Linked DNA regions of Sus scrofa. The protein of the gene in region 2 purifies or fractionates together with the protein of the main gene of each other region. This does not show direct contact. Links are inferred from orthologs where the notes say so. Each region holds a gene or a part of one and is shown on either strand. Other genes may lie near its edges. The genes, in order: NFKBIB, NFKB2 and FBXW11.

Region 1 (3,716 bases), on a different chromosome or scaffold from region 2:
AAAGAGTTAGAGCTAATAAGCCAACAAAAGAAACACAATGGAACAAAATTTGCTCATTCTAAAAGGCAGAAAAAGAGGAAAAAGGTAAAAGAGATAAGCAAAAAAGCTAAAAACAAGATAAACATAACCATTTCAATAATTAAGTTAAATGCAAACAGTCTAAACACTGCAATTAAAAGACAGAAACTGTCAGAATGAATAAAAAAGTAAACCTCGAGTTCTCTTGTGGTGCAGCAGATTCAGGATCCAGCACTGTCATTGTGCCACACTGCTGTGGCTCGAGTTGAGTTGCTGGCTCGGGAACTTCCACAGGCACAGCCAAAAAAAAAAAAAAAAAAGCAAAACCCACTATATGCTGCCTGTAACACTCTTGAAATATAAATTTTAAAATAGGTTAAAATTAAAGGGTATAAAAAGATATTCCATGGTAACACCAGTCATTCAAAAGAAAACAGAAGTAAGTATTTTAATATCAGAGTAGATTTCAGAGCAAGAAGCATTACCAGGGCTAGAGAAGGTTATTTCATAACGACAAAGAGGTCAGTGAAACAAGAGGACTTAATAATCCTAAATATTTGTGCCCCTAATAATAGAGCATCAAATTACACAAAGCAAAATCTGATAGCACAACAAGGAAAGCCACGAATCCACAATTATTGTTGAAGATTTCAATACCCGGCTCTCAATAATTGACAGAACAAGTAGAAATCTAGACTTGAGCAACAAAAGAACCAGGGAAACACTGACACTCGGAGAACACTACACCCAACCAGAGCAGAATACACATTCTTTCAAATGCACACATTATATTCTTGGCCCTAAAACAAGTCTCAAAAAGTCTGAAAGGATTCAAGTCATGCTAGGCTCTCCATCCCCAACAGAATTAAACTAAAAGCCAATGAAAGAAAGATGCCTGTGATATGGAAACTGAATAACATACTTCTGAAGAATCCGATGACCAAAGAAGAAATCAAAAAAGAAATTAGAAAGTATATTGCATTAAATAAAAACACTACACATCATGGAATTCCTGTTGTGACTCAGTGGTTAACGAACACAACCAGTATCCATGAGGATGTGGTCAATCCCTGGCCCGGATCACTGGGTTAAAGATCTGGCACTGCCATAAGCTGTGGTCTAAGTCGCACATAGGGCTCAGATCCCACATTGCGGTGGCTGCGGTGTAGGCCGGCAGCTGCATCTTCGATTTGACCCCAGCCTGGGAACTTCCGTATGTCGCAGGTAGGCCTTAAAAGCAAAACAAAACAAAATGACAAAAAACGACACAGCACATCAGAATTGGTGAGATACTGCTAAAGCACTACTCCGGGAAATTTACAGCATGAATCACTTATATGCGTAAAAAAAAAAAAAAAAAAGAGTCTCAAATCAATGACCTCAGCTTCCATCTTAAAAAACGAGAAAAAGAAGAAATTAAACCCCAAATAAGAGAAGAAAGTAAATAAGTCAGAACAGAGATCAACAAAATAGAAAGCAAAAAGAGAGAAAAAGAGAAAATAAATGAAACCACAGCTGGTTGTTTGAGAAGATCACTGTTTCCTGAGTGCCTCCTATGGGTCAGGGGCTGCTGGGTCACTGGGGATACAGCGGTAAACACGATACTCAAAAACCCCAGGTACATTCCCTCAATTGGGCCTTTACAACTGTTTTTCCCTCTATGTGCAATGTTCTCCCCAGATAATCTACTTGTCTCACTTCCCTGCTTTATTTTTCTCCAAAGAACTTCTTAACGTCTGACATGCTATTTTTCTTTTTTTTTTTAATTTTTGTCTTCGTTTCTTCCTGCCTTTCTTCTTTCTCTCCCTTTCTTACTTTAGGTCTGTGTATCTTTTTTTCTCTTTCCTTCTCTCTCCTTTTCTTTCCTTTTTCTTCCTCCTACCCTTCCTCCCTCCCTGTCAGTCTATCTGCCCTTCTGTCTATATACCCCCACTAGAATGTATGCTCCACAAGACAAATGTTTTTTGGGCTTTCCTCCCTGCCTTTAGGCCACACCTAAAACAGTTCCTGGAAAGTCGAAGGTGTTGGATTATTTGTTTAATAGATGAATTCCTGCTGTTATGTAGTTTCCATTTTCTCTTTGAATGTAAGCTTTGAAGATCAGAGTTCAGAAGGTGGGATCCTGGAGTCAAAAGCCAAGTATTAATTTCGAAATAAAATCTAAGGCTCATGTAAGTTAGGCGCTGAGGACCAAAGATCATATTTGGAGGATAAAGGTCAGGAGGAGCCTGTCTGAACTACAGTTCTAACAGAGGGCTAAGGACTGGGGTCAGGAAGGTCAAATCGAGTTTTGGATGTGGAATCGATCACTGAATGTGGGTCTGATCAATGAACGCATAACTCTGAGAATCAGTTCAAGAAAGGAAGGCCAGACATTATTGGGTTAGGATCAAAATTAGATAAGAAGTTGGTTTTATCAGAGGCCAGTCTTGGGGTCAGGAAGTCAAGCATCAAAAGACAGATTTAGGATTGAAAGGTTGGGAAGTCAGGATTGGAGATGTGGGACCCTGGGGCCCGATTTGTCAGTCTAAGGTTCACTCACGTGTCGCCATCCTCAGTGACGTAGCCGAAGACGAGGGGCGCCCACGATAGTCCCGGACCCAGCTCCGCGCCTAGGCCTGGTCCTCCGGGGGCCGCTGCGTCCGGACCCAGAGAGCCCAAGCCGCTGTCGCACCATTCATCGGTGTCCGCAGCTTTCCCCAAGCACGCAACCCCAGCCATGGCCCCCGAAGCCTCAGGGGCCCCCAGCGGCAGCCCGCCTGTCGCTGGGCTCTGCCTGGAATTCTCGAGCTTCCGCCCTGCGGGGAATTCCCCAACACGCCCCCCTGACTCATCCAATCAGGGTGGGCTAAGTAGTACACGCCCCGCCCCCATGCCACATGATGACCAATCAGAGCACTCAGGTGGACTACGGCGTTCTACCTTTTCCCACACTTTCCCGGAGTCCTTTACCAGCATGGCTGTGGACGTGGAGCCCTCTGGGACTCGTAGTCCGGCCTTTGCGTGGGGGCGCGCTCCGTACGCGGTGCAGAGCATTATATGCGATCGCGATGGCTGCTGGGAGTTGTAGTTCTCTGCCTTGTCTCGGCCCCCTCCTGTTTCCGGTGCCGTCACGGGACAGAGCAGTCGGTGACAGTCCCGAGGGCCCCCGCCCCGCGCCCATGGCCGAGCCGGATCGTGAGTCGGGGACCCCGGTGGGAGGGCAGGGCTGCACCGGGGCCTAGCTGAGGGTCGTAGGCCCCGGGGCCCGAGGGCAGGCTTGGTGGGGCAGGAGATGGGGGTTGCATGGGGGGGAAAATGGGATTCCGGGGGCAGTTGCCAAGTGATCCATATTGCTAGATTGGTGGCTTTCTGGGTCGCTAGGTTTTAAGGGTCCGTTTGCCACTTCCCCCAAGTTACTAATGATCACATGTTTCTCGCACCTTAGTTGCCAAGGACCCTCGTTGCTAGGGACTTAAGATGCCGCGGTCCTGGTTGCTAAGGGTACCTGGTTGTTAGTAGCAACTGTAGGATGCCAGGGTCCCCTCCTATTGCTTCCTTTTTCTCCGAAACCAACCCCACCCTGCCCGACACACACACACACACACACCACACACACACACACACTCTGCACCTCTTCTCCCAAACCTGCCAACAGGCAGAGTATGTCTTCTCTCCTTTCTATGGCTTCCCACTGCTTGTAAACCTAATGACACACA
Region 2 (3,749 bases):
TTTTCATTCAAAAAGATACATGCATATAAAAAAATAAAAGATACATGCACCCCTAGGTTCATTGCAGTACTATTCACAATAGCCAAGACGTGGAAACAACCAAAGTGTCCATCGACATGGATGGATTAAGATGTGGTGCATATATACAATGAAATACTACTCAGCCATAAAAGAGAACGAAATAATACCATTTGCAGCAACATGGATGCAACTAGAAATTCTTATACTAAGTGAAGTAAGTCAGAAAGAGAAAGACAAATACCATATGACATCAATTACGTGGAATCTAAAATATGGCAAATATCTACAAAACAAAAACAGACTCACAGACATAGAGATCAGACCTGTGGTTATCAAGGGGGAGGGAGGAAGCAGTAAGATGGACGAGGAGGGAGTAGCAGACACTGCAAACAGTACAAAAGATAATTTTCTACTCTGGCGAAGTTTGAACTAATTTTGGATGGCTTTTCTATTCTGATATTCCAAATCTCTGTGAATGATGAACAAGGCCTGAGTCTCCCAGATAAACACCTCGTTTCTCTTACCCAACGCGGAGCTCCTGATCAGGTCTGAAAGTTTGCCCCCCACCCCGCAAAAAAAAAAAAAACAAAAAACAAAAAACTTTATAGAACAAGTTTTAGGTCCAGATTGCCTCTTCCAGGGAAGACTGAGATTACGGAGTCTCCTCGAGGCTCCAGAGCGGCCACCAGATGGCGCTCTGGCACCAACTGCAAATCAACTTCCTTCCTCTTCCCCTAACTCTTCCCGGCAGCGGGGCCCCCGCTCGAAGCGAGGGACCAGAGGGCTGGGTCCCTCCAGCTTCCCCTTGGGATTCCCCGGCTTCTGAGGTGGCCAAGCATTAGATGCAACATAAGCTGAGTAGCAGCAGGGGCTGCCAGCCGGCTGGGACAGGCCAGGGTAAGAGAGGAGACCGGAGCCGCGGTCCTCGGCTGGGGAATGGCGCTGGGTCAGCGGATCCCGCAGCAGGCTGGTCCCTAGGACAAAACTCACACCTGATTGAGGGCCATCCTCACTCTCGCTTCGCGCGCTGAGCAAATATTTCCCCTCTAAGGGGCGCGCCTGAGTCACTTGCGATTGGTTACTCGAGTCCGGAGTTAAACTTTCAGCCAATGAAAAACGGCATGGGGAGTGACGCACGGAAACGTCACGGGAATTCCCCCCTCCTGGGGCGGAAAAGGGGCTTTCCCGGCTGGAGTCCTGGTAGCTGGAAAGGTGTCGCGACCCGTCCGGGGTGGGTCGGGCCGGGAGAGAATCCGGAACCTGAGCCGCCGCAGCGGTGAGTGGCCGGGTTCAGACCCCTGGGTGGCAGGACACGGGGAAGGGCGGGAGGAGGACCCTTAGCTGACCGAGCCCAAGGGCTGAAGAGAGGCGTCTGCACACTCACAGAGAGCACGCACACGATCAAGATACACGCATACACACTGATGTCCTTGTATAAAGACAGGCGGGCCGTTTGTTACACCTTCACATATGCCGGCGTGTGCACAGCACTATCCATGCAGACTCGCTCACACAAGGACCCGCAAAACACGCACACCGTGCACAGGTGCCTGGACCCATACCCTTCACGCACAAACTCGAAGATGTGTTCACCTGTGCTCTTACATACATGCTCAGATGTTTCCGCACTGAGAAGTTTAAGGACACTCACCTGTATACGCATGTTCAAGCCATGAACACACAACACGCAAGCACATGGGCCGAAACACACTTGTACACCTATGATGCAGATGCATACATGTATTACACACGGCTTTGGGACTGGGGCGTAGGGCGTAGGCAGCCAGAGTAGGTGCAGTGTGGGAATTAACGGCTGTTGAGATGTTTTCGGGAGGGGTAACAGGGGAGCCCATCCCAAGGAGACCCTTTCCTTCCCCCGCCCCAGGGCCCCAGAGACCAGTTATCCGGGCAGAGCCCCGGGGCCCCTCACTGGGAAGAGCCCCCACCTACAGGCCTTCGGGGAGTAGGCCTTCCTACTGCAGGAATGTCCCCCCAAAAGCCCCCAGGGTGATTCAGCCGTGGCCTCACTCGGGGTAGAAAATCCCAAGGTTGCTCCAGGACGGGGGAGGGAAGGAGGCGGACCTGACCCCGTACTAGGAGCCTCCCCCAGCTTTGAAAGACCCTCCCGTCCCCGGCGCCTGCCCTGGAGGGAGGAGGAAGGGGTGCCCAGCCCCGCGGGACCTTCCCAGCATCTGGTAGCCCCTCGACTTCGCGGAGACGCTGCGGGCGCTAGCAAGCCAACTGAGACCTTGAGCCCCTCCCGTCTCGGGGGCGTGGCCAGTGCGTCATTTCCAGGCCCGCCCCCTCCGGCCCCGCCTCCCCCTGGTATTTTCGGGACTTTCCTAAGCTGTTCTAACTTTCCTGCCCTTCCCCGGCCCAGCCCAGCTCCGGATCTTGCCCTCCACCGGATCTTGCCCGCCACACCCGGACGGGTGGCTGGAGATCAGACCCTCCCCTAAATCCAGGCCCCCCCTTTCCCCCCAACTCCCGTCCTGATCTTTCTCTCCCAACCCCTCCACTCCTCCCCACCTAAGGCGGGCGCCTGAAACTCCGGGGAAACAGCACCCGGCCGGCCGGAGCCACCGGACAGAGCTGGGCCTAGCCCAGAGACATGGACAGTTGCTACGACCCAGTGAGTCACTTTGCCTGGCCCCAAAGCCGGCCGGTTGCCCCCTGTGCCTGTCTGCTTGTCTGCCTGCACCTGTAATGTCCTTAGATTATCTCAGCCTGCCTGTCAGTTACCTCTGTCTGCAAACTGCTTCCAATAGGAGTTTTCTTTTATGGGCCTGGGGAGGAGGAGTGATTATGGAGGGCTTGGAGAGCTGAGAGCTGGAGGGCCCCGAGAGTGGCTCAGAATCAGATGCTACCCCAGTCTGTCTCCACAGCAGAGTCTGCCTGGCATCATCGAATATGATGATTTCAAATTCAACCCGTCCATTGTGGAGCCCAAGGAGCCGGCCCCAGAGACAGGTTAGTAAGTCCCCCGACCTCCCCTTGTCTTGGAGGGAGGAACATGTGCCCTCTGCCTTGGGAATGGACTCAGAAGTCCTGGCTCAACAAAGTCCCTCTGTCCCCAGCTGATGGCCCCTACCTGGTGATCGTGGAACAGCCTAAGCAGGTGAGTGAAAGAGATGGCATGGAATGGTTTCAGCTTTGGGGGCAAGTGGGATAGTTGGGTGGCCATGGTGACCACAGACCCACTTGGGTTGAGGTGGTTGGTTGCTGCTGATCACAGCAGTATGGTTGTGAATTCAGGATAGATACATGCAATTATTATGGTCACTGCTGGCTGGTAGCAGGGGAGGGGGGTTTGGGGGCCTCATGGTCACAATGTCACTCTGCCCTGGCACCTTCAGCGAGGCTTCCGATTCCGATATGGCTGCGAAGGCCCTTCCCATGGAGGACTGCCAGGTGCCTCTAGTGAGAAGGGCCGGAAGACTTATCCCACTGTCAAGGTGAGCCTGGATGGTGCTGGGGGGGGCAGGGGTGACTCGTGGACAATGTCCATAAACATTACTGACAGCCCTCACCCCTCACAGATCTGTAACTATGAGGGACCAGCGAAGATCGAGGTGGACCTGGTAACACACAGTGACCCGCCTCGTGCTCATGCCCACAGCCTGGTGGGCAAGCAGTGCTCGGAGCTGGGGGTCTGCGCAGTGTCTGTGGGGCCCAAGGACATGACTGCCCAGTAGGTGCCCCATACCCTTGGCTCCCAATGGCATGCC
Region 3 (3,649 bases), on a different chromosome or scaffold from region 2:
CCATTAATGAATTTTGGCACAATAACTTTTATGTCTATCACCTGGGGGCGAGGATTACTTCACATTTGGGAAACTGAGTGTAACTTTATAGGTGATACAGCATTGCCTAGCAAAGGCTGAACTTTTTTGCCAAGGAGGAAAGAGTGAAGTAACTAAGACCTGCCAAGAACACATGTGAGAGAGTTAATGAGAAATGCCTGTGCATGTCTTTCCTGGTTCAAGCAAGAGGGCTAAACAATAAAACTAAACTAATTAGAACACAAGAACAGTATCAAACATCTCCAATGTTTCTCATCAAGTTCACAGAGTTTACTGGTCTAGGGAAGTTACACTCGAATCTGAAATGGTCCAGGAGCGTAATCTGCTCTAGAAAAGTCACTTAAGTATTGTTTAGAATCATATCTGCGTCATTTTAATGAAAAATTATGGGAAATCTACCGAGGAAACTGAGACTGTGCCTTCTCTAGATCTCTACTGATGGCTCAAAAATGTAAAATGATGCTTCGCTGAAAAACTAGGGCTTGGATTTTGGAAATTTTATCAAATAAGAATAAAAAGTCAATTTCTGATTAAGGTTTTAATTAACTGGCGGCCTTGCAGAAGCGTTTCATGTTTTTAAAAAGTCAGATCATTTTCTACAAAAAAAGCCTTTTCTACTTTAAAAAATAGCTACAGATTACACATTGTGACATATTTGCTCCAAGACTTCAACTTAAAAAAATTTTTTTTCACTAATGCTATGATTTCAGATCAACAGAACACTCTAAGGCAACATTAAAAAGTTGAGAACAAAACACAAAGAGCCCATAAAACAGATAAATCATAAAGTTACCTCTATATCCTGGATAATCTTTGGGTATAATGACCTATAAAATGAATTGGGAGGGCCATCTGTGGGTCTGTTTTTAAACAGGTACTGATCCCTGGCAAATAAAAACAAACAGATGTTACATTTTTGCACATAAAAGGCTGAATTTATTGAAATGTGGTGCTTACAAAGATGTATCTTTCGAGTCTTTTGACTTGCACTGAGCTTTAACAGTTCAAAAGCAGGATGTGTGACAATTAAATGTTCATGTTAGACAGACGTTTACTTCCGCTTACACTTAACATGATCCTAATCTTTCATTTTCTTAATACTCAACACAATAACCTCGCCTTTCCCTCTATAGTTTAACAAAAAGCATTAATGCAGCTTTGAGAAAAATCGAAGTTAGTACACACCAAACTTCTTCCCATAAGGAAAGACAACACAGCCCTAACCATCACTCACCCCACTAGCTACCTGCAACGCTCTCTTTGTCCGCGCTGGCTGCGCGCGGTCCCTGACAGGTATGGAGCTACGGAGCTAGGAGCTACGAAACGAAGCTGTACATCAGATAAGGTTGCCTCGGAAAAATCCCACCCGCTCTACCTCCCGTCTTCAACCAAGGGCAATACATCTAACAGCAAAACTGCATTATTTGATTTTCTCGTGTTTTCTCGTTCTCATCTATCTTTTGGTAATGGTAGCGGCACCTCAGGAAAAGGTGAAAGGAGAAGCATATTCACATAGCTTTGAAAAGCCCAATCACTCATTCAAATTATCCAATACTTTCTAACGGATATAGAGGAAATAGAACCTATCTATCCTAACTGATATAGAGGAAATACGCATTTCAGAAGGGGTTATTTTAACAACTTTAACTTTCTGCCCCTGACTCCTGACCACTCATCTCTTCCCATTTGCTTTAAGATAGGCCAACACATTTGGTAAGTATAACTGCTTTTTTTTTAGTAATCAGAGAACCTTTTTTCGCGAGAATATATAATCCAAATACTTACCACCCTCTTCTTTCTGAAAGTCCCTTCCATAGAGGGTCAGTGCGCACCATTCGTTCGATCAGCTTCTTCCACAGCATGCCTTCGGAGATCACTCGCTGCCATTCTTTACACACCAGCTCTGCTGCACACAGAGACCTGGCATCCAGGTAGGAAAGAATGTTTTCTGCTATGTGATCTAAGCCTTGCTCTACAAAACAGAAAGGGCAGTGAAGGAATGGGAAGGGAGATGCAAATGTAGTACCAGTGACCGTTTCCTTAAAGGTAAGAGGCATAAAGAAATCCTGAACTGGGAGATGTGCTTGAGTAAGATCAAAAGTTCTGCAGATACACAAGTGCATGAGTACATACACACACACACACACTTCTTTTGGGTTCTGGTTTTTTAAGACGAAACAACTGACGGCAACAGTTCCTATGTGGAAGTCAATCCTGGACCATTCTATGTTTGTCAGATATTATAACAAAAGATTTCTTTTCTTTCTTTCTTTCTTTTTTTTTAATTACATAACTCTATGGGGTAATGACAGCCCAAATGTAACAGATGAGGCAGAGAGGCAAAAGGTGTCAAGGTCTTGTAACTATAAGTGAAGCCGAGACTAGAATTCTAATCTTTTGCTGCACAAGTTTGTGTTCTTTCCCTTCTGATTTACTAGATCATCCTATTAATCCTGACCTAGTGAATTGCTTCGAGTTAAAGAGACAAAAAGGTAAAACGCGGACGCATCTGAAAAAGCTTATGAAAAATTAAACGACAATCCAAGAATTAAGTTAGGTGTACTCTGATTTTTGCCAATCATTTCTCCATCTTCTCACAGAGGTAAAATCCTCAAAACATGAACCGCGTGCCTAAAAATTCGAACCTTAAGAGGTTTACCCTACACAATGCACGTATCCTCTCAAAGACAACCACTATCCAGCCTTTGCCTGACATGTGCCCGTCACAAAGGTGACGAGGTAAAGAAGATCCCTGTGGTCAACAGAGCGGCTGCCCGCAAACGCCCATCCTGTGGGTTCTAGGCATCTCCTCTGCAGCTACAAGAAACAGAGGTCATCCCCAGGCCTTCTCTGTGGAGGAGTGGGAACACCAAACACATAGCTAGAAAATTCCAGTTTCAGGTCTAGGTTCACCATGCAGCAGTTCTATAGCACGAAACAAATATTTAAACAATTACTGAAACGTCCCTGCCTCTTGTTTTTTTTACCACATAAAATGGTAGGCACTATCTGCAAAAATCCATAAGGTTCTATGAAAAGATTTTAAAGACAACAAAGTACCATTCAAGGTTAACATGTGTTCTCTTTTAAGATAAACGGAAGCAGGAGAGTACTAACTTGACAGGTCTCGGTAAATCGTTAAACTCGCAGAGCCTGAGATTCCTCATCTGCATAAAATGGGGACAACATTCTCTGCCGTTATTGTGAAAATATCAAACTGAGATGATGCATAAAACATGCTTCCCAAACCAAGATTTCTTTCATCCCTAAGATGACTATTTACACTGTTGCTTATGGTTTACAGGCGCCTCACACACTAACTCTCCGACTCTGCTCTGGGTCTAACACCCAGGTTGTGATGTGATAATGAAGATTACAACTACCCTGAGGCCACTATCTCTTCTTGCACGTGTCACTACATCGCAGTTAATGCAGTCAAAGATTACACTGCCTTCATCTAAGAGGCGTTACCGCAGCAGACTCCCAAGATGGCCGTGGCTGAATTAAAACCTTAGACGCCCCCCCCCCCCCCCGCCAGGACATCTATTAAAACAATTCCCCCTAATTCTGGTTTGTACAGCTAGTTTAGAAGTAGCGGTCAGCTTCATGC

Evidence for each region.
Region 1: the proteins of NFKB2 (region 2) and NFKBIB purify together in Homo sapiens (affinity purification with mass spectrometry; 4 studies listed by BioGRID and IntAct, counting the BioPlex papers as one, with this or other methods). This does not show direct contact. The link is inferred for Sus scrofa from reciprocal best matches to the Homo sapiens genes NFKB2 and NFKBIB.
Region 3: the proteins of NFKB2 (region 2) and FBXW11 purify together in Homo sapiens (affinity purification with mass spectrometry; 8 studies listed by BioGRID and IntAct, with this or other methods). This does not show direct contact. The link is inferred for Sus scrofa from reciprocal best matches to the Homo sapiens genes NFKB2 and FBXW11.

The regions. Positions count from the first base shown.
Region 1 is NC_010448.4:47,702,764-47,706,479, reverse strand, and holds the start of NFKBIB (NF-kappa-B inhibitor beta), read right to left. Parts: upstream 2,837-3,716; 5' UTR 2,740-2,836; coding exon 2,561-2,739; intron 1-2,560. Other genes in the region: SIRT2 (NAD-dependent protein deacetylase sirtuin-2), read left to right, coding at 3,180-3,195. UniProt on the Homo sapiens protein: Inhibits NF-kappa-B by complexing with and trapping it in the cytoplasm.
Region 2 is NC_010456.5:113,405,237-113,408,985, forward strand, and holds the start of NFKB2 (nuclear factor NF-kappa-B p100 subunit), read left to right. Parts: upstream 1-1,175; 5' UTR 1,176-1,297; intron 1,298-1,672; exon of another isoform or gene 1,673-2,195; intron 2,196-2,327; exon of another isoform or gene 2,328-2,555; 5' UTR 2,556-2,632; coding exon 2,633-2,653; intron 2,654-2,906; coding exon 2,907-2,991; intron 2,992-3,098; coding exon 3,099-3,139; intron 3,140-3,377; coding exon 3,378-3,476; intron 3,477-3,560; coding exon 3,561-3,712; intron 3,713-3,749. UniProt on the Homo sapiens protein: NF-kappa-B is a pleiotropic transcription factor present in almost all cell types and is the endpoint of a series of signal transduction events that are initiated by a vast array of stimuli related to many biological processes such as inflammation, immunity, differentiation, cell growth, tumorigenesis and apoptosis.
Region 3 is NC_010458.4:52,302,808-52,306,456, reverse strand, and holds part of FBXW11 (F-box/WD repeat-containing protein 11), read right to left. Parts: intron 2,012-3,649; coding exon 1,825-2,011; intron 924-1,824; coding exon 833-923; intron 1-832.